Ovis aries: one gene and its partners. The protein of the gene in region 3 purifies or fractionates together with the protein of the main gene of each other region. This does not show direct contact. Links are inferred from orthologs where the notes say so. Each region holds a gene or a part of one and is shown on either strand. Other genes may lie near its edges.

Region 1 (6,787 bases), on a different chromosome or scaffold from region 3:
AAACATTCAGAAAACATTCTTATAAACCAGTATATGTGCTTCTTCACCTACACATTCAGTGATAAGACCTGCCGAAAGGTGTCAGGAGTGATGAGCATAAACGATACTCCGGGGTAACTGTGACAATGGATGTGTGACAGCCGTCTACCTCGGACGCTTACATCAGGCCAACAGGTACTGCTAGTATGTCTGTGCTTTGCTTCTGATATTTCATAGAGGAAAAAGTGAAACTTCAACTTGAGTGAAAAGTTCAGAGACCCTCTGAATTCCAACCACAGCATCCTTATGCCAACGAACAGCTGGCATGCATGAGTGCTAGAGACCAACCTCCAGGAAGTTCATGACAAGGAAGAACAAAGACAGGAAGGCAGGTGCGAAGAGAAGGCGGTCCAGGAGGAGCCTCTTGATGCCTGCCAAGGGGACATCGGAAGGGATCCAGCGCTCCATCAAGAGGTAGAAGAAGTGACCCAGCGGCCCTGTAAAAAAAAACCTGAGGCCCGCGGTGGGGGTGAGTTGGACACACCCTTCACCCTCAAACCCCAGATCCTAAAACCTGCCTCCCTGGAGTCCCTCAGCGCTGACCACAGAGGTCTGTGTGGCCCTTCTAGAAAACATGCTTTCAATGCATCTGCTCCAGGCATTCATTTTTGCCACTGACAGACCAGGCTTGTTCCTGCTTTGCACCCCCTTGTCATCACATGGCTGGCTCCTTCTCAACATTGTTGGCTCAGAGAGTGCCTTCCAATGGTCCTGAATAATAAACCTACCACTGTCCCAGCCACTCTCTATTCTAGGCCCTGTCCATTTTCTTCAAAGCATTTATCACTGGATGTCATGGTCTTATTTGTTTATACAGTGCCCTCTCTTCACCCTTAGAAGGTAAACGCCACAAGGCAGGATCATGTCTGTCTGTTCACTGCTCTGTCTGGAACATGGCCTGGCTCAGAGATGCTCGGTAAATAAACAGAAGCATCCCAGGTGTCAGAGCTTTTTATCAAACTCTCTACGATCATTATCAGGGCTGAGACCTGGTGCTGTGTGCTGGCTTGTCTATATTATTTTTCATTTCAAACAGCACAGGAAGAAAACTGAACCCTGCCACCATGTCTACAGGATCAACAGATCTGAGATTCCATGAAATCCAGAATCAAAAGATGAGCAGGGGCCCAGGGGCCTTCTAGCTCCACAGTGCCAAGCCTTTAAAAAAATGGTTTTCCCTTGTCTTTCTCCACCCTCTCAGAGAATGTTAACTGGCCCAGAGCAGGGCTTCTTAGAAGGAAGAGAAACAGGAAGTCTTGAGGATGGAAAACTGTGACTGGATAAGGGGAATGGATCAGAATCACTTCCAGGTGGAGGGATTATCACCCCCTCTTTGGAGGGATTAGGACTTTAAATACATATGGGAAAAGCTGTGACGACTCAAGTTAGCATGCTTACAATACAAAAAATGTTATTTGCAAATTTTTTTTTCACTGTAATGTATCACTTTATTTTTTTTTTTGGTTTTTCTACTTCTTCTTTATTTTAAATTTATTTATTTTTATTTTTATTTATTTCTTTTTCTTTTTTCTTTTTCTTTTTTTTTTTTGCACCCCCCTCCCACCTCCCTCCCCATAACATCTCTCTGGGCAAATTTTGAATTGAAAAAAAATCAATCTTATTGCAAAAGATTTCTAAAAATCCATCTATACAAACACTGTTGTTGGCCAGAGAACTCGGGGTGGATTTAATAGATAAAACTTCTGAATCTCTGTGCTTTTGCGATTTAAAAAGTAGTTCAGAAACGACAATTTTCAGGATACCTAAGGATTTCTTTTCTGAATGGTTATGCTCTGAATTTAACAACAGAAACTAACTGGTCATATTTGAGTCTGCTTTCCTCTTTCAGAGTCTTTGGGTCCTGAAGTCTGATTTCAGGTTTAGGTGCCCTCAGGCCTCTCAGCTCAATTACTATGGCTACCCTCACCCATGCAATTCAAAATAAAAACCAAATAAAACTACAAAACAAGTGAAGCTAACGTTATCCATCATTCTGATTTTTCTCCCACGATGACTTCAATGCTTTTTTAAAAATTACTTTTCTGAATTAGGTAATTCCAGGTGTTGATATCCTAGCTTTGTCGCACTTAGCCTGCTACTGAGTAAATCAGTCCCTTTATGGAACTCACCCATAGATAGCATATCTGAGAGGCCCGCTGACATCTAGCTTTTGAGAGCAGTTTTCTTTTTTCTGCTTCTTCTCAATCAACTGTGCCAGGAAGTTCCCAAGTGCTGACAAAATGCCACTGTGGAGAGAGGGGTATTCAGAACACAGAAGCGAACTACCGGGGCTGGAGGCGCGGGGCGGGAGGCGCGGGGCGGGGAGCACATCTATTCCTGCACATAATTAGCACAGTGGTTCGAAGAACATGCTGGGGATGGGTGGAGATGAACCCTTATCAGAGCAGCGAAATGTAAGTTCCCAGCATGAAAAGGTGGAGACGGCAGAACTTAATACACACACAGAAGCATGGTAAGATTTCCAATCGGTGGGTTGTATAAATGTCATATCTGGATTGTGATGATAGCCTATAATTTTAGAAAAAGTTACCCTGTGTAGTTATAAAAGGGCAACGCCAAGGGATCCTTATGAAGAAAATTTTCTTTATTTTGACTCCAGTGGTAGACACACAAACCTATACATGTGACAAAACTGCATAGATCTTAATGCCTACAGTCACGGAAGAGTACAAGAAAAGCTGGGGAAATCTGAATAAGTCCTATGGTCTGCTGTCTATACAGTGTCCTGGTTGTGATACTACAGTTTTACAGAATGTTGCCAATGGGGGAAATTGGGGCAAGTATACTAGGGATCTCCCTGTATTGTTTCTTACAACTACACGTGAATCTGGGGCTTCCCAGGTGGTGAAGAACCTGCCATGCAGGAGATGCAAGAGACACGGGTTCGATCCCTGGATTGGGAAAATCTCCAGGAGGAGGGACTGGCAACCCACTCCAGTTATTCTTGCCTGGAGAGTACCATGGACAGAGGAACTGGGTGGGCTACAGTCCACAGGGTCGCAGAGCCAGACGTGACTGAAGCAACTTAGCACACGCGCACATGTAAATCTACAATCATCACAATAAAACTTTCAAATAGAAAGATGGAGATGGGCCCAGCTGCTCAATAATTGGTCTATATCTGCATTCTGAGAAGCTTTCTAAGCTATAAAGTCCAAAATTCTTGGACGAGACAAGGAGCCTCTTGATCTGATCTTTCACTACTTCTTCCTCATCCTCTCCCTTGGCTGTTGTTCATTTTCTCCAGGAACACAGGCCCATCTTCCACTCCACCACTATTAGATTGCTCCTCCCTCAGGACCTTTGCTCCTGCTGTGCCCTCTAACCTCTGATTCCCTGTTTTGTACAGCCTGTTCCTTCTTCAGGCTTCTATTTAAGTGTCACCTCCTCAAATAAAACTTCCCTGACCACTTTATCTGTGTTATACATTTATCTACTTTTTGACTAGTTCTTTACTAGAACGCAAGATCCGTGAGGGTAGGGACAGGACTTACTTGTCTTAATCATCGCTAATGCTCCCCAGACAGGAAGCAGCTGTACACATGTATGAAAGGCTGTATTAATAAAAGGGGACAAACTTGTAAAATGGATTAATTAAAAGGAAGGGGGGGATGTCTCATAAAATGTTTAGTACTCCAAATCAAAGGGCCCACCTAACCGCAGCAAGGGGGGCACTGTGTCAGCTTTCTCCCAAATGCAAAGCTGCTGAAGCATATCTTAACATCTCCCACCCGGTCTAGCCTTCCTTGCCCTTCCTAAATTAGGTGTTCACCTCAACCCATTTAGTCCATCCGGTGGTGGCTGTGGTTTAGTCGGGAAGTCCTGTGCGACTCTTAGGACCCCAGGGCCTGTAGCCCTAGCCCGCCAGGCTCCTCTGTCCATGGGATTTCCCAGGCAAGAATACTGGAATAGGCTGCCATTTCCTTCTTCAGGGGCTCTTCCCGGCAAAGGAATCGAACCCGGATCTCTTGCATTGCAAGCAGACTCTTTACCGACTGAGCCACCAGGGAATCCCCAGCCTATCCTGGACTCAAAACAAGAGCAGGCACTAACGAACTGGAAGGTAGCTGCAGAACCTGCGCAGAGCCGAGCGGGTGACAGATGTTTCCCCCAGTCCCCTTTCACCCCGGACGACCGCCACCTCCGGGGCAGAGGGGCCGGAGGCCCCGAGGCCTGCAGCAAGTCCTTCAGCTCGGGCACTCCTTTAGTCTGGCCCCTGGGTCCACATTTTAGGGTGTTTACGAGTCACAGCTCGGAACCAAATATACAGAACAGCACGTGCTAAGAGTTCTGGTTAATTTAAGGCAATTGGAGGGTCATTTTGACACACACGGATTTTGCCTTCCACATTCAAACCCCCACGTTGGATGGATGTACCTGTGGGGCTGGGTCACCGGCCGACAGAGCTCTGGGCCGCGCCCACCCCCGCACCCCGCCTCGCCCCCACCGGCCCCGTCCAGTCCCCTCCTCCGCCTCTCTGCGCAGACCTGGTGGCCGCTTTGGTGAGTACTGGGTAGAGCCGCAAAAGGCGCAGGTACTGGGAGAGCGCCCGCCGCGGGAGCGGCTCTAGTCCAGCCTCCGCCCGCAGCTTCGACGCCGCCGGCGCCATCGCCTTCCCCGGTCCACGCCCACCGGGGGCACAGACCCCACTCTTGGCTTGTCGGGCTCTGGGCCCCAGGGCGCGGGGCGGGGACGGCCGGACATTTCCCGCCCCGCCGCGTCGCGCAGTGCCGCCGGGTACAGACCCCTGGATACGCAACGCGAACCTCCGCGCACTTTTCCCGGACTCCCTAACGGGCCACCGCCCCCTCGGGCGCCGGCGGCGATTGGAGCTTTTTGGGGCGGGGTGCGACGAGCCTCCTGATTGGGCGGTGGGGCGCTTCCGGCTTCTCGCGAGAGTCATTACAAGCGCGCCAAATTTCTACAGGGAAGTGGCGGCGGCGGCGGCTTCAGCGCTATGGTTCTGAGGAATACTGGACGACTGCGCGCGGAGCCGGGCGCGGACGGGGAGCCCAGCCGGTGAGACAGGTGGCAGGCGGGCGCCAAGGACCCTCCTTTCGGCCTGGCGGCGCAGGAGCGCCCCCTCCTTAGCGCGCGCGTCGTCCGTGAGCAGCGGCTAGAGCGGCGCTCCACTCGGCCGCCCGACGTGGGCTCCGGGTTGAGAGTCCGGCAGCTCTCCGAAGCTGCCCCCTCTCCCCGCCGTCTCTTTGTTGGCGCCGTGTCAGAGGTCCTCCGCCTGCGGCCCTTCGGCAGCGCAACGGGGAAGGGCGGCTCTAGGACGGGGGCGGGGAGGAGGAAAGCGCCATAGCTTGGCTCCTGCTGATGCGCTGCCCACGAGTTCTCAGGGTAGTAGCTGAGGGTGTCCGGTTATGCTAGGAGCGCGCGCGGAGGCCTTGCAGCCTAATCTCCGGTCGGCGCCGCAGGCCCACGGTCGGCGCATCTTGTGCTGGAGTGAGGGCGGTGGGGCTGCAAGGCTCCGGCCTCTCGGGTCCAGCCCCACTGCTTCGCGTGGTCGGGGCGGCTCTGACCGCGTTGTCTGCGAGGCTGCGGAGTAAAGGGAGCAGCTTCTGACTTAGTTCTAAGGTCAAAAGCCCTTAAAATTAAGATGTGACAGGGTTTTGTTCGTTCTGAAAGCTTTAGGGGAGAATCTCTTCTCTTGCCCTTTGTAGTTTGTAGAGCCTCCTTCCTCTATTTTCAAAAACAACACTGCCGCATTTCCAGCCTCACTCTCCTCTCTGTCTCTAATTTCTGGCTCTTATAAAGAACCTTATGATTACAGTGGATCCACCCAGATAATCCCCATCTCAAAACACCTAAAGTCATCACACCTGCAAACTCCTTTTGGTCATGTAATATAAGAGGTTCCTTGGATTAGGACACAGACATCTTTGGTGTAGGGGCTGTCAATTATTCTCTACAGCAGGTGGCTATAACTTTTTGTGAAAAATAAGGATCCTCATCTTGAAATAGGTCATTCTGTTCTTTAGGTGTAGGTGACCCAAGAAGTATCTTCAGGCAAAGGAGGTTTTCTTAAGCAAAATTCTCTGTTTATAAATTAATAACTAATTAATCATGTTACAGTAATTAAAGACATGAATTCTGCACAGGCTTGGTTCAGATCTTTTTTTTTGTCTAACTAGTCTCTGTTTTGTATATTTAGCTTTCTTAGACTGCACCATTCTAGACACATACATATTTTCTCTGCTTATTGATTTATAATAAAGTAGCTCATTTATTTACATTAAGACGAAAAGTCATGGGGTATGGATTCTTAGCTGTACACTTTTAAGGAGTGGAGAATATAGTTGGCTTAACTAATAAAGAGGCCTTCAGCCCAAAATATACAGGGGCCAGAATCTCAGAACTGCAGTTTAAGAAGAAAGTATTAATAGCATTTGCTTTTTAAGTTGGAATGCCAATATGGTAATTATTCTCTTTTGAAGATGGATAAGCCATAATTATTGTATTCTATTTAGATGGTATCACACCTGTGAAATTAAAGATTGTGAACAATTTGGGATTATTCCAATCTCTGGAATCAAAATAGATTTGGATAGTTCTGTTGATGGAAAGTCTTTGTCAAGTAGTTAATTTAAGGTTTATGATAAAATCTATATAAACAGTTATTTAACCCTAAGCAGAGAAAGGCTTGGGAGGTTTGAGGAGATATAACTGAGCTGGGAAGTGATTTCCTTTGTCAGTTGAGATAGTTCCTCTCACACTGAAC
Region 2 (6,901 bases), on a different chromosome or scaffold from region 3:
TAACACCCCAGTGCTATGGAGAGGGCAGTCTCTCAGTGAGGCAGGGGTAGGGTGTCTGGACTTCTGGATGCTCAGAGTTAGTTACTGGGCTGAGGGTCCCTGGGCGTTGAGGAGGTTGAGGACCCCTTACCTGCACAGACGACCCCCGCATCCTCCTCGTGTGAGCAGATGTGGGCCTTCCAGCCCCGGTGGGAGCAGAGGCCCAGCTGCCGCTCCCCACCCCGGCAGGCCAGTTCACTCAGCCACACGGGCCCCGCACCCTCCCCGAAGAAGGCGCCCCCGGGGGCGGCCAGCGCACCCCCGCAGCCCAGCTCCCGGCAGGCCACAGCAGCGTCCCGCAGGTCCCAGCCGTCGTCGCACACGGTGCCCCAGCGCCCACCGTGCCACACCTCCAGGCGGCCCGCACACCCATGGGGCCCATCAGCCAGACGCAGCCGCTCTGCAGGGACGGAGGAGAGGCTGTGACATCCTGGAGACCCCGGGACTGGCGGGCAGGGCAGGGGCTGGGGGCTGTCCTGCAGGGGCATGACCGGGAGCCCCTTAGGAAGCAGGAAGCTGGGTGACCGTGTGGTCCTGCAGAAGTGGTGTGGGGGTCGTGGGCACACGAGGGTGGCCAGGGTCCAAGGGAGGGTGAGCCCAGGCCGGGCGTGGGGAAGGCTTGGAGCTGAGCGCACCCAGATGGGAGACGTGTTTGGGGCCACTTACCAACAGCCTGGGTCCCCATCAAAGCCACTGGAAGGGAGGTTGGAGGGGTGAGGCAGTGAGGTCCTCGCTCCTCTGAACCAGAAACCCCGCCGCCGGGAAGGAGGACTTGGGCCCAGCGCCTGGCCGAGGCCCAGGTCCTTGGGATGGGTGGAGCCCGGAGGCCTCAGGTCTGGGCAGGGGGCCAGGCCCTTGGCTCTCCCCACTGGGGGCCTGGCTAAAGGTGAATGATGGGTGAACCCCCTCTGCAGGGTCAGGGCTCATGGAGGGGAGAGGAAGTCCTGGGGTCTCCTGAGAAGGTGGGACTCAGGGTGCCTGAGGCCAGGTCCCTGGAGGATCAGTCAGAGGCAGCCAGATGTCCTGTGCTCCCCCACATCCCCCCCACCAAGCAACAGGGACGGGGCCCTGGAACTCAGAGGCTCTGCAGTGGGTCAGCTCAGGGGTCAGAGGGCCCGGCCCGGGGACCCTGAGTCCCGGAGGAGGGGAAGGGTCACTCACCGAGGAGGCAGGCCAGGACCCTCATGTTTGCAGAGTCAGGGTGGGGACAGGGTGGAAGTGGACGGGAGCAGGAGCTAGGAGGAGGGGACCGCCGACGCAGGAGGGAGGGGAGCGCCTGCCAGAGGAGCCCTGGACCCGGGGAGGAGCGGGCGGGGGCTGGACGCTCTGCAGGAGGAAGAGAGGCTGCCGAGGAGGCAGCAGGGGACAGGAGCGGGGCGGGGAGGGGGCTGGCCGGCGGCTGAGGCCTGTGGAGGAGGGCGGTGGAGGGCGGGAGGGAGGGTGTCCAACTGCAGACACCCACACAGGAGACAGCCGGCTGGCCAGAAGTGCCGCACTCAGGCTTGGGGGGCAGCAGGCTGCAGGGGAGGATCCTGACAGGGTGCGAGGGCGGGGCGCCCACCCATCTGCTGCTTCTCCTGTCCCGCCAGGGTGGTGTGCCGGAAGCAGAGGGCTTTGAGGGTGGGCTCACATCAGCTGCCGGGTTGGGGACCTGGTGCAGCAAGAGGGCTTGCAGGCAGACACCAGGAAGGACTTCCTGGACTGGGAAAGGAGACAGAGAGACTCCCTTCTCCATTCCCCCTGGTGGATTTGCAGGCAGAAGTCATCAGCCCTCTGTGTGTCTCCCAAGAAAACTGGGGTCAGGGGTCGAGAGGGCCAAGGGTCAAGACTTGGGTGGGGGAGGACGACTGCACACACACACACACACACACACAACACACACACACACGCACAGGAACGTACTCTTTCTCTCTCTCTCTCTGCACTAAGCAGCTGTGAGGCGGAAAAAATTCGGTAATGGGGAGCGTGAGTCAGAGGGCTGGCAGGGAGCTGGGCTGCCTGAGCTCATCGCCTCCCCTGCCCCCAGTCCAGCACACTCCCCCCTCCCGACAATTACTGTCAACCTCGGGAAGGAGGGGCCAGACAGAAATGGTGGGTGTGGAGGCAGACTGGAAAAGGCATCAGAGAGAGATGGCGAGCAGCGGTTACAGGCTTTATTAACAAACGGGTGTAAAAAACCAGATGGGTCTGGCCGCCCCTCTGGGCTCCCACCTTCCTGGGGAGGGGCTGGGCAGGCAGCCCTGTGCCCACCACCCCCTCCCCGGGGCTCTCTCCAGGCAGACAACACTCCCCTGCAGAAGCTTTGCTCAGCCCCTCTCTGCCTCTGCAGCCTCACCCCTTCCAAGCATGGGCATCGCCCCCCACCCTACCTCCCCGGGGCTGAGGGGGGCCCTCGTCCCTGTTTGGGGTACCCCTGCCAAGTCCTAACCCCAGTGGGGGGCGTACTTGCTCGGCCTCCTCTCCTGCCACATGTCATAGCACAAGCAACACAGGCTTGGCAGACAGACAGATAAGATTTCTCTGCGCAGACAGAATCTGAGGCAGGGGTTGGACGGGTTGAACTCTCTAAGAAGTTCAAACACTATGGATGGGCATCAGGCTGTGGCAGGGTCTCTTGCCCTCTGCGGGCCTCAGCTGCTGGGCCCTGGCGGGGGGGGGGGGGGGTAAGGATGGTGTGGAAGTGCCTGCACACAGCAGGTGCTCACTAAGTGCTGCTTTTCCTCCTGCTAGGGTCTGCAGTCACAGTTCCTTGCTGAACTCGCGCACCAGCGTGTAGCCCATGCAGCCCCAGCTCCGCTCGGCCTGGTAGCCACAGCCCTCCAGCATCCCGGCCACGCCCCAGGCTGCCACGGCCACCGGGACCACCAGGCGCGCCCGGGGTTCCCCCATGCCGCCAGCCCAGGCTCGCGCCCGGGACTCGGCAAAGGCCAGCAGGCGCCTGCCTACGCCTCGGCGGCGGTGCCAACGGGATACCGAGAGGCGGGTGACCCGGGCCCCATCCCCAGCACCGGTGCCTGGGGCCAGGGCCAGGACCCCACACACGTCCCCCGAGCCCCGGACTGCCACCCACGGCCCCCCGAGGCCGCCGGGCGGGGGCAGCGAGCCCCAGCGGGCCCGCAGGCCCAGCTTCATGGCCGCCACAGCCAGGAACACGGGCAGGAGGAGGGCCAGGGCGAAGGAGGCCAGGACGAAGCGAAGGCCGCTGCTGGCCGCAGCCAGGAGGAGCAGGGCCGGCGGCCGGGTCAGTGCATGAAGGGCCACGCGGTTCTCTGTGTCCTTCACGCCAGCCTGCGGGCAGGAGGAGCAGTCAGCGTGGGGGAGGCAGGCAGTGGGGGCGGAGGCAGGCCCTGCCTGGGGTGGGAGCAATCGGAGGGGAGGGGACAGCAGTGAGCCGGGGCCTGTGGCAAGCTTGCCGTGGCGTGAACACACTGCTGGCTGGCACACTGGGCTCTGAATGAGGGAGCTGGTGAATTAGGAACGGTGGGCGCTCCGGGTTCAGTGGAGTTGCAGGCGTGAGGCAACAGGGGAGACTGGACAGAGGCGCGGCCCCACCGAGCGGGGAAGCTGGAAGGGCCTGGGGGTCCTCGAGGGCCAGGCTTGGAGGAGGAGGAGGCCGGGGCACAGGGCTGAGGGGAAGTGAGGAGATGGAAGGGCTTGTACTGCGCGGGTTACGGCTTGGATCCATGATCGGGGAGCACTACCATCCCGCGTACCATGTGGCGTGGCCACACACACACACCCAAAACCGTTCTCAATCTCCAGGTTAGGGAGAAGGCACTAGAAAGAGGAGGGTCCAAGGCTGGAAGTGCCTTAGGAGCAAAAGATTGATTTCCAGGGTCACCGCTGGCTCAGGAGGGTGGCTGAAGCCACTCGGGATGCCCCCCCGCCCCCTCCCGGGCTCCCTGGTGCCCCTCATTCTGTCCCCGCCCTCCCAAGCTCATTGGTGTCCCCATTCTGTCCCCGCCCCTCCCGGGCTTTCTAGGTTCCCGCCCCCCACCCCCAAGTGGTACCCTCCGTCCCACGCCCCCGGGCTCAGTGGCGCTGCTAATGACTCTCACCTTCAGCATTTCCAGCACTAAGGGTTTTTCATCTTCCCTCATCTCCCGCACCGACAGGTGGCTGGGGGCCATGGCAGCCCCCAGGCTCCCGCGCCCCCAAAGGAGCAGGCGTGCACCTGGCGAAAACAAGCAGGTCAGTGTCAGGAGGGCACCTCTTGTTCCCCAAAGTGCCCCAGAGCTGCGGGCCAGCAGCGGCAGCGTGTCCAGGTCAGGAAGCGGGATGCTGGCGGCCTCCAGGCGAGGCCCGAGACAGAACAGGCTTCCCGGTCAACCCAGCGACCTTCCGAAAGCCTCTCGGGTGAAGCCCTCGCCCCAGGCGGTATTCGGCGACCCACGCCTAAAAGCCTGGTGCCCGCCAACACCTGCCAACAGCGCGCTGCCTCCAGGCCCCGCAGCTGCCCTGGGGGTAAGTGAACCCCCCCCAGCCAGGGAAAGGACCGCGCTCCCCGCTCCCAGGGCCTCTGCCCCCGGCCGCCCCCGAGCGGCGCCTGTGGCAGGAACGAGGACTTTCAGACACCTCTGTGGGTCGCTCCGGCTTTTAACAAGATGCGGGGGGTGGCAGGGTCGGGGAGGGGTCGCCGGCGGAAGTGACGTCAGACCCGCGCGCTGGGAGCGGGGCGGTGCCTGCTCTCGGCCTTAGCAACCGTTGCCAAGCGTCCGGCCTGACGGGTTAGAGCCGGGAGGAGCGGCGGAGAGAGCTGGCGTGCGGGACGCTGGCAGGGGAGGGGGCCGGACTGAAGGGCCTGGAACTATAGACCGGCTGTGGGCGGGCAGCGGGGCTTACCCAGCGCGCGCCCCGGCCGGCTTCCCGAAGGCCTCTGGTTGCTAAGCGACCTGAGCGCGGGGGTGAGGCCGCGAAGGCGGCTTGATTCCCACTGGCTCCCCGGCTTTCGCGGGCGGGGCCGCGACAGCGTCTCAGACCCACAGGTTCCCCACCTGCCCACCAGGGCTCTCAGTGACCGTTGGGATAAGCAGTCCCGCCATCCACCTATTTTTCTGCACGAGGAGGGGTGCAGTGACTTACAGAGGAAGTGGCAGAACCGGGGTTCCAGATTCCAGCGCCTCCCCCATACCGTGACTGTTGCGTCCCTTTTCTTAAAAAATGGATAAACAGGGCCCCCACAAAGGAGCAGCGGCTGGCCCCAAGACGCAAAGTCACCTGCGAACCAGGAAGCAGGGGACCCCACCAGTTCCCAAGTGGTGGCTATGGGCATGACATTGACCTCCCACCCCATCAATAAGAAGAAAAAACACGAGAGGGGATTCTGGTCTTTATTTGCAAGCCCAGCCTGCAGCTCCCTCCGCCCAGCCCAGCCCAGGCGGCGATGGGGTGGGGGCCTCTTCGTGGGGCGGGAAGAGATACCCGTGGTCCGACTCAAAACGTGTGCACCAGCTGGACCGCGGGCAGAGTCTGGACAATCTGGATGGAAGGCAGGCCCTGTGGGGCCACGCCCCCGGGTGCCGCTCCTGCGGGGACCACTTGTACCATCTGGGGGCCCGGGGCCGCAGGGACGCCCGCAGGAGCAGAGGCTGGGCCAGGTGGGGGGGGCGCCAGTAGCTGCAGCGCAGCGGCGCCTCCCCCAGCGCTGCCGTTCTCCAGCAACTCTGCGGCTGGGGCGCTGCGGATAATGAGCAGCTTCTGTCCGGGCGGGCCTGAGGCGGGCGGCTCGGCCAGACCCGACGGTAAGGTCTCTACCTCCTGCACACACAGCTGGGTCTGCTCCCCGTCGGCCCCGCTCAGCACCAGCACGCTCTGCAGTCCCTCCTCCGTCTGCAGCGTCTCAAAGAGCACATCTGGGACTACCCCCGGGCCGGCCTCGCCCTCGCCAGGCTCCACTGGGCCGGGGTCCGCCAGTAACTCCTCAGCTGCCCCGCTCTGAACCACTAGCAGATTAGGCGCCTCGGTGGTCACGGCTCCCCCGCTGGAACTGGACAGCGGACCCGTCACAGGCTGGAGCTGGACCGTGGTCACCTCCTGGGCCGGCTGGAGTTGGACGGTGGTCAGTTCCGGGGCTGGACGAAGGGGCTGGAGCTGAACCCCACTCACTTCCTGTGGGCCTGTTTCCCCACCCGCCACGTTCTGCAGAACTATGAGGCTCTGCCCTCCCACGTTCCCCGCAGCGTTGCTTCCTCTCTGCACTCCTAACCCCCCAGGGCCCGGCAGCCAGACTACTCCAGCCCCCGGCCCAGCTTTCCCCGCGGCCCGCGGGCCTTGCCGGGCGCAGCTGCCTCCCCCGGCGGGGCCGGAGGAGGGCAGCAGGATGAGCTTGGGGGGTGCTGGCGGGGGCGGGGGCGTGGGCGGCTGGACGCTGCTGGGAATCAGCTGCAGGCCCTGAGCCGTCTGCACCAGGAGAAAAGTCTGCGAGTTGGGAGCGGCGGGGCCGGGGGCCGCGGCCGGGGCCGTCCCCCCAGCCACCTCTAGGGAGAGCGTGGCCTGGAGGTGGGGGAGGACGTGCACATCCTGGGTGGCCGACGGGGCAGGGGCGGCGGCCAGCGGGGCCGGGGGCTGAGGGCCGGCCGCGGGGGCCGCGGGGGCATGCGTCCTCAGGTGCCGCTGCAGGTAGGCAGCCATGACGAAGCTGCGGCCGCAGACCGGGCAGGTGAAGGGCCGCTCGGCCGAGTGCGTGCGCTGGTGCAGCAGCAGGTTGGAGGAGTGCGTGAAGGTCTTGGGGCAGAGCGGGCAGCGGAAGGGCCTCTCGCCCGTGTGCACGCGCTGGTGCTGCCGCAGGTTGGAGGTCTGCGCGAAGCTTTTGCCGCACACGCCGCAGGCGTGGGGCCGCTCGCCCGTGTGCACGTGCCGGTGG
Region 3 (6,883 bases):
GATGAAGGGACTCAGATAACTCCTCCCATTTCAAAAAGTTAGAGCTTTTGAAGGTCTGTCCCCTGCAGCCACTATTATTACCTTGGGTGGAATCACTAAAGGTTACAGAATAATAGAAACTTGGGCTCAGATTAAAGTCTGCAAGATGGTATACTCACCATCTCCCCAGCAAGCTCTTTTGGAGGATGGCCCAAATCTTGTAGCTGGAAAATAAAGAAAGAGGAACACGAGGTAAGACCATGCTTTGTGGCCTCCCCTGTGCTCCCTCCTCCACTTTGGTTTGGCAGTGTGGCCTCCTTTCAGGATCCGCCTGCAATGAACACTCAAGCACACAGAAGCAGCGGGCACACAGCAAACGGAGGCCTTACCTGCTGCATAAGATCCAGCACCACCTCAAAACGAGCCTTCTGAGTGGCCTCAGTGTCTGTGGGGGTCTCTGCCTCAAACTGCTCACATATTTTGCCCATGACACTATGTTGTTCCTGATATTTTTCAAATTGCTCTGGAGGTAGAGAGTCTCGGTGAGCCTGCAACCATTCTGGATACTAAGTAAACAGAAAATGGGTGGTGAAGAATTAAGTGAAGAATGCATAAGTAAGGGGAATAAAATACAAAGAACACAAAGGGGCCAGAAACAGAGGAGAAGGAAAAACTAAATAAGTTCAGCATGAGAAGCAGCACTGACTTCAATCAATCATCACCTGGCTATGCTACCATTTATGGTCACCATTTATGACAAACTTTTTCTGTGACGAGCCAGACAGTCAATATTTGAGGCTTTAAGGGCCACATATGGTTTCAGTCACATACTCCTTCTTTTGTGTTTAACAACTTTTAAAAGTCTCTCCAGTAACACTATAAACCCTTTGATGCCAGAGACCATCATTTAAACTACTCTTACAATTGTTCACAGCATAAAGTCAGTAAACCATCAGTGACATCTTGTTGGAGAAATGAATGAAATTGGAAATGCAAGAAGGAGTTGATCAGACAACAACAGAGTCTTAGACTAGTTTACAGAAAACTATTAGCTGAAGGATTTCTCCTTCTACCTTAAATATTCTCAGTAAAGTAGCTTTATTCTCTTGGAGACACAACTCCTCCCTAACTCTCCCCTTCCAAATAAATAAACAAAGGGGAAAAAAAAAAAAACAGATGAACCTGTACACTTGAGTTACTCTGTCTTTACAGTTTCTAAATAGACAAAGTAGCCCATGGGAATTGATACAATGAGGAATAAGGAGGAAAAGCATAAACAGAAGCTCACAAACCTTTTCTGTGATTTCCTTCAGTGATGGGTACAGCACATCCTTGGACAGTAGGTTCTGCATGATACTCTGCATGATGGGGAGGATGGTCCCTTCCCCATCCCCTTCGTCCATGCCCAGCCCTTCCATGGCCTTGGTCAGTTCCTCTTCTGACATGCCAGAGTTCTAGAAAGAACAGAAGAGAAATGAGCAAGTATACCACCTTCTTGGGACACTAACCAACTTTTCAGGTGGGAAAGAACTATTTAAACATGCCTGTAGCAAAATAAGCAAGAACAGACTTGAGATGACACCCAAGAGAGTCTGTCTTTTGAGGCTCTGCCGGTGAAATCTCTGTGAGTGGGACCCATGTGGTTCCCCATCTTCCCTCTCACCTGAAGGTCAGTGGCATTCTTGGCTAGTCCACTTAACGTCTCCTTTAGGCAAGAGGTGAATTCTTGTTGGGAAGTCGCATCACTGCCTGGGAGAGATGAAAAGAGCCTAGGTCATTTAGGATTTTAACTGCTTGCTTAAGACTGACCTGGTTACCAGCTTGGACATGGAGCATTTACTAGTGAATTGCTACACTCCAAATCTTTGAATACGTTTATCTTCATAGTTATTTTCATAAATCTACATGGACTGTGTCTCAGTTTGTTCTCTACAATGACACCCACATTAACACTGATCTTTAAAATTATCACTTTTCAAAATAAATAAATAAAAATGAAATTATCACTTTTCAATAATCTTTTCTGTTACTTTCCAACCTATCTCACCCCTTTCATTAAACAGGGTCTCCTTTTTCCTTCCATCTCCTCCCCCATCCCATGGCAGTGGTATCATAATTACTGTCAACTTTTACAAAAAATTTTGGTGTTGTCAAGGGACAATAACCCAAGAGGTTTGTTCAGATATTTCGCACTGTTTCTCTTCCTTACCTACTCTCCCAGCAGCCTCTGAAAGCTTTTGGAACTGCTCTACCAGGTGGGGCTCTTCCTCAGCCAACTCTTTCATTGCTTTCTCAAACTCTGCAGTGGCTTGGGAAGCCAGCTCACTGTCAAACAGTTCCTGGAAAAACTTCTCCTGGGAGGCGAAGAGGGCATCCTGCAGGGGAGAATGTGGCCAAAGCGCATCTCTTACTTGGCACCCCAGTGTACATGGTTTCTGACAGAAGCCACAGGCAGTGGCGCTGGGAGGTGCAGTGCTTCCCTCCTACCCACCTCCATTGGGCATTCTGACTACTTCCCTTCATGAGAACAGCAAAAAGGCCATCTGGCCACTAAGGGAAGGCTATGGGCTGGTATTCCCAATCCAACCATTTAAATCTGTTCTTTTCTTAAGGAACTTCCTTGAGATCCCTGTACTCAATCTCAAGTCCCTGTTTCACAAGGACTGAGGCCTGCAAGAGCACTCACCAATGTGAGGCCAAGGCACCCTCCCCGACTCCCCTCTGGCCCACAAAGGCCTGCCCCACCTCTGCTTGGAGCTGCACGCCCACACCCTCCCCATCCCTTAAGTGGGTGGAATTTATACTTTGGCAGTGTCTCCTGGCGATCTCTTCTGGGGCCCTGAAGCATCAGGGGCCGTGGTGGTAGGAGGGGGTGCTGGGGAGGGTTTGGCCTTATCGAAATCATCAAGAGCACCTTCAGAGACAAGAGACACAGTGTATGTGTTGGTGATGGATGAGAATGCAAGGCTAGAGGGGTTTCTGAGCAAAGCATTAAGAAAACAATCTTTCAAGCTGCCAACCTTCCTAAAATGCTCTCCTTTTTTTTGAGTCTCCCTCTCCTGACCCACTCCTCAATAAGCTTCTCCCTCCCCCTCCCCATTACCTAACATACTGTAATCACAGGGGAAGAAGTCTCTTAAGGTGTAAAAAAACATCTCTCAAAGCTGTAAGAGGACAGTTCATCTACACAATGCCTCTTTGCCATACTTTAATGGTTCCTAGAAATCCCATACAGATATTCAAGAGAAACAGAGAACACAGATGTCCTTAACCCCCCTAGAACTCACTCTGGAGCCCTACAAGGAATAATCTTTGGCAAGAGAGCAGAAGCCTTAAGATGTTTCACCCAGCTTCCCATGGGTCCTGGTACAAACTGAGGGACTCCATATTATACTCCACGGGAGGGCCCTGAACTCTCTTTTCTCTTTCAATTTAGGTCTCCCTCCCCAGAGTTGCTAGAGCTCCCTGTGGTCTCATCTCTGCAGACTCACACAGTCACTTAGCACTTCTCACCATTTCTGTTCACCTTTCCGCCTGCCCACTCTGTGACTGAGCAAGAGACAATAAATATTCACCTCGACCCTGAAAAGCCTGTGTTCTCACCACCACTATATTTGCCAGGCCTAGGGGGAAAGACACCAGCCCCACTCTGGACAAGAAACCAAACCAGACAGGAGTGGATGGCAGGGCTGAGGAGGAAAAGTACAGCCACCTTCTTTCCAGAGTGAACTGTCTTCCCCTGAGGCTGTCTCATCCTGTTTTTCAAACTAATGGGAAGGGTTTGAGCTCTGACATGATGAAAGAACTGGAAAGGGGCCTGGTGGATGAAAGGACTGGGAGAAAAAAAGGAGTGTCTTTTCTGTTAAGGAGGGCAGGACAGTTAACAGAAGAACGCACTACAGGCTTCCTAATAGTTAATGGAAGCAATTCGTGGTTGTTCGGTTCGCTGCCCCCTGAGGACCAAATGCTGCTGCTGGTGGGGAGAAAGTCAGACTTCAGAACTTACTAAAGTAAGGGGAGTTTGGAGAGGGAGCGTGAAACGTCCTCTGGGTTAGCTTCCCCTCCGGCAGGGCGATCAACAGTGTGGGCCGTTCAGGGACCCAGAGAGAACTCCTCAACTACCGCTGCAGAGGAAGGAGAGGGTGACCCAGAGATTTTCTCGAGGGTCGCAGTCAGACTCTCCGCCCCCGTCCAGCCTTTGGAGAGCCTTTCTTACTCCGCCCCAAACATCGCAGGTTTACTTAACCCCCTGAATGGATCCTTACATCCGCCCTCTTTGGGGCTTTCCCATGACGGGCTCTTACTTTCCAGAAGCTCTTCCAATTCCCGGTCGGCTTCGGCCCGGACACCACCGTCCCCCTCAGCCGCGGCCATCTTGCCACCTCTGACTTGCCGTAGGAGGTGGGACTCCGAGGCTCCGCGCCCCGCCCCTGTGCCCGCCCCCTCTGCTCGCGCAACCAATGGTATTGTTGGTCCGTGCCGGGCCGCCATTTTTAAAGGGACAGGATGCTCCGATTCCCGCCCCCGCCACCCCTCTTCTTTCTACTGGCACGCTGACCTAACAGAGGTGAGTTTGCTCTTACCTTCTGCCAGGTTTTTTTTTGTTTTTGTTTTTACTGGCCTGGCTTCCTTTCTTTCAACTTCCCACATTACCTGGCTTTCTTATTATTTTTTTCCAGAGCTGTGGGTATGCCAAATTGGCACAAACTGCCCACGAGCCACCAGAAGCTCTGCGTTTGTAATCAATAAGGAAGTTACGGTATACCCAACATGGTAGTTTTCTCTCACTTCAGTATTTTACTCATATGTCATCTTCTCTGAAATGCCTTCTTTGGCCTCACTAAATAAAACTGCAACCCTTCCCACACACATACATATACAAATCCTGCCCACTTTCCCTCCATTTCTCTCAAAACTTACCTCTATGTGACATACTATACGTTTTACTTATTTATCGTTTTTATCTCCCGTTAAGCCCTTTGCAGTTTAAGCACGATGATGGCAAGGATTTTCATCCGTCATCTTCACTGCTGCATCCCTAGCTCCTGGGCTGGGGATTAAAATTTGGGCATTCATTGTCTACTCTTTGCTCTCTCAGATCCTAAAGAGGCATGTTTCTCTGCAGAATCTACTGGCTATCTCACATTTCCTGTACCCCATTAAAACTATCACAGGGCCAAGAACTTAGAACTCGATATTAGTCTAATCAAATCGGGTAGAAAAGCGACTCTTGGACTTTGGATTAAGCAAAAAGGTACTGTAGAGTTCCTTCCCTGAACAGAAAAACATCTACTTGTGCTTTATTGACTACGCCAAAGCCTTTGACTCTGGTTCACAACAAACTGTGGAAAATTCTTCAAGAGATGGGAATACCAGACCACCTGACCTGTCTCCTGAGAAATCTGTATGCAGGTCAAGAAGCAACAGTTAGAACAGGACATGGAACAACAGAGTGGTTCCCAATAGGGAAGGGAATCCACCAAGACTGTATATTGTCATCCTGCTTATTTAACTTATATGCAAAATACATCATGAGAAACACTGGGCTGGATGAAACAGGAGCTGGAAACAAGATTGCTGGGAGAAATATCAATAACCTCAGGCATGCAGATGACACCACCCTTATGGCAGAAAGTGAAGAAGAACTAAAGAGCCTCTTTCACTTTCTTTTTTTCTTTCACTTTCTTGATGAAAGTGAAACAGGAGAGTGAAAAAGTTGGCTTAAAACTCAGTATTCAGAAAACTAAGATAATGCATCTGGTCCCATCTGCTGCTGCTGCTGCTAAGTCGCTTCAGTCCTGTCTGACTCTGTGCGACCCCATAGACGGCAGCCCATCAGGCTCCCCTGTCCCTGGGATTCTCCAGGCAAGAACACTGGAGTGGGTTGCCATTTCCTTCTCCAATGCGTGAAAGTGAAGAGTGAAAGTGAAGTCGCTCAGTCGTGTGCGACTCTTAGTGACCCCATGGATTGCAGCCTACCAGGCTCCTCCATCCATAGGATTTTCCAGGCAAGAGTACTGGTCCCATCACTTCATGGCAAATAGATGGGAAACAAGGGAAACAGTGAGAGAATTTATTTTCTTGGGCTCCAGGATCACTGCAGACAGTGACTGTAGCCGTCTGCAATCGGCTTGCTCATTCGAAGAGGACACTTGCTCCTTGGAAGAGAAGCTATGACCAACCTAGACAGCATATTAAAAAGCAGAGATATTACTTTGCCACAAAGGTCCATCTAGTCAAAGCTATGGTTTTTCCAGTAGTCATGTACAGATATGAAAGTTGGAGTATAAAGAAAGCTGAGCATTGAAGAATTGATGCTTTTGAACTGTGGTGTTGGAGAAGACTCTTGAGAGTCCCTTGGACTGCAAGGAGATCCAACCAGTCAATCCTAAAGGAAATCAGACCTGAGTATTCACTGGAAGGACTGATGCTGAAGCTGAAACTCCAATACTTTGGCCACCTGATACGAAGAACTGACTCCTTGGGAAAGACCCTGATGCTGGGAAAGATTGAAGGCAGAGGGAGAAGGGGATGACAGAGGATGAGATGGTTGGATGCATCACCGACTCGATGGACATGAGTTTGAGCAAGCTTCTGGAGTTGGTGATGGACAGGGAAGCCTGCGTGCTGCAGTCCATGGGGTCACTAAGAGTTGGACATGACTGAGCAACTGAACTGAACTTCTCCGACCTATGGCCTTTGCTCTACACAAAAGTCAATCATGTGTAGTTGGGGGAGGCTCAGATAAAGACAACTCCAGACATCCCTTCCCTTCTCTGGAATTGTTCTATTTAGATCTGCCAGAATGCATCAACTGCCTAGACAAACCTACTTTACCACTTAGAGGGCATCTACTGGTGTTCAAGATCCTATGTGGGGCACCGTGGAGGACAGAGATAAATCA

What was found. Proteins that work in one complex are often made in the same cells at the same time.
Region 1: the proteins of PEX19 (region 3) and PXMP2 purify together in Homo sapiens (affinity purification with mass spectrometry; 3 studies listed by BioGRID and IntAct, counting the BioPlex papers as one, with this or other methods). This does not show direct contact. The link is inferred for Ovis aries from reciprocal best matches to the Homo sapiens genes PEX19 and PXMP2.
Region 2: the proteins of PEX19 (region 3) and NAT14 purify together in Homo sapiens (co-immunoprecipitation; 3 studies listed by BioGRID and IntAct, counting the BioPlex papers as one, with this or other methods). This does not show direct contact. The link is inferred for Ovis aries from reciprocal best matches to the Homo sapiens genes PEX19 and NAT14.

The regions. Positions count from the first base shown.
Region 1 is NC_056070.1:44,564,445-44,571,231, forward strand, and holds the start of PXMP2 (peroxisomal membrane protein 2), read right to left. Parts: upstream 4,687-6,787; 5' UTR 4,670-4,686; coding exon 4,548-4,669; intron 2,286-4,547; coding exon 2,169-2,285; intron 491-2,168; coding exon 328-490; intron 1-327. Other genes in the region: POLE (DNA polymerase epsilon catalytic subunit A), read left to right, coding at 5,018-5,079. UniProt on the Homo sapiens protein: Seems to be involved in pore-forming activity and may contribute to the unspecific permeability of the peroxisomal membrane.
Region 2 is NC_056067.1:62,802,422-62,809,322, forward strand, and holds NAT14 (probable N-acetyltransferase 14), read right to left. Parts: upstream 4,687-6,901; 5' UTR 4,615-4,686; intron 4,214-4,614; 5' UTR 4,170-4,213; coding exon 4,098-4,169; intron 3,849-4,097; coding exon 3,753-3,848; intron 3,328-3,752; coding exon 2,779-3,327; 3' UTR 2,179-2,778; downstream 1-2,178. Other genes in the region: soluble scavenger receptor cysteine-rich domain-containing protein SSC5D, read right to left, coding at 131-439, 706-732, 1,201-1,225; ZNF628 (zinc finger protein 628), read right to left, coding at 5,473-6,901. UniProt on the Homo sapiens protein: Probable acetyltransferase. May act as a transcription factor that regulates the expression of coproporphyrinogen oxidase by binding to a promoter regulatory element.
Region 3 is NC_056054.1:111,302,406-111,309,288, forward strand, and holds the start of PEX19 (peroxisomal biogenesis factor 19), read right to left. Parts: upstream 4,366-6,883; 5' UTR 4,354-4,365; coding exon 4,284-4,353; intron 2,894-4,283; coding exon 2,784-2,893; intron 2,355-2,783; coding exon 2,189-2,354; intron 1,729-2,188; coding exon 1,643-1,728; intron 1,434-1,642; coding exon 1,272-1,433; intron 546-1,271; coding exon 369-545; intron 204-368; coding exon 159-203; intron 1-158. UniProt on the Homo sapiens protein: Necessary for early peroxisomal biogenesis. Acts both as a cytosolic chaperone and as an import receptor for peroxisomal membrane proteins (PMPs).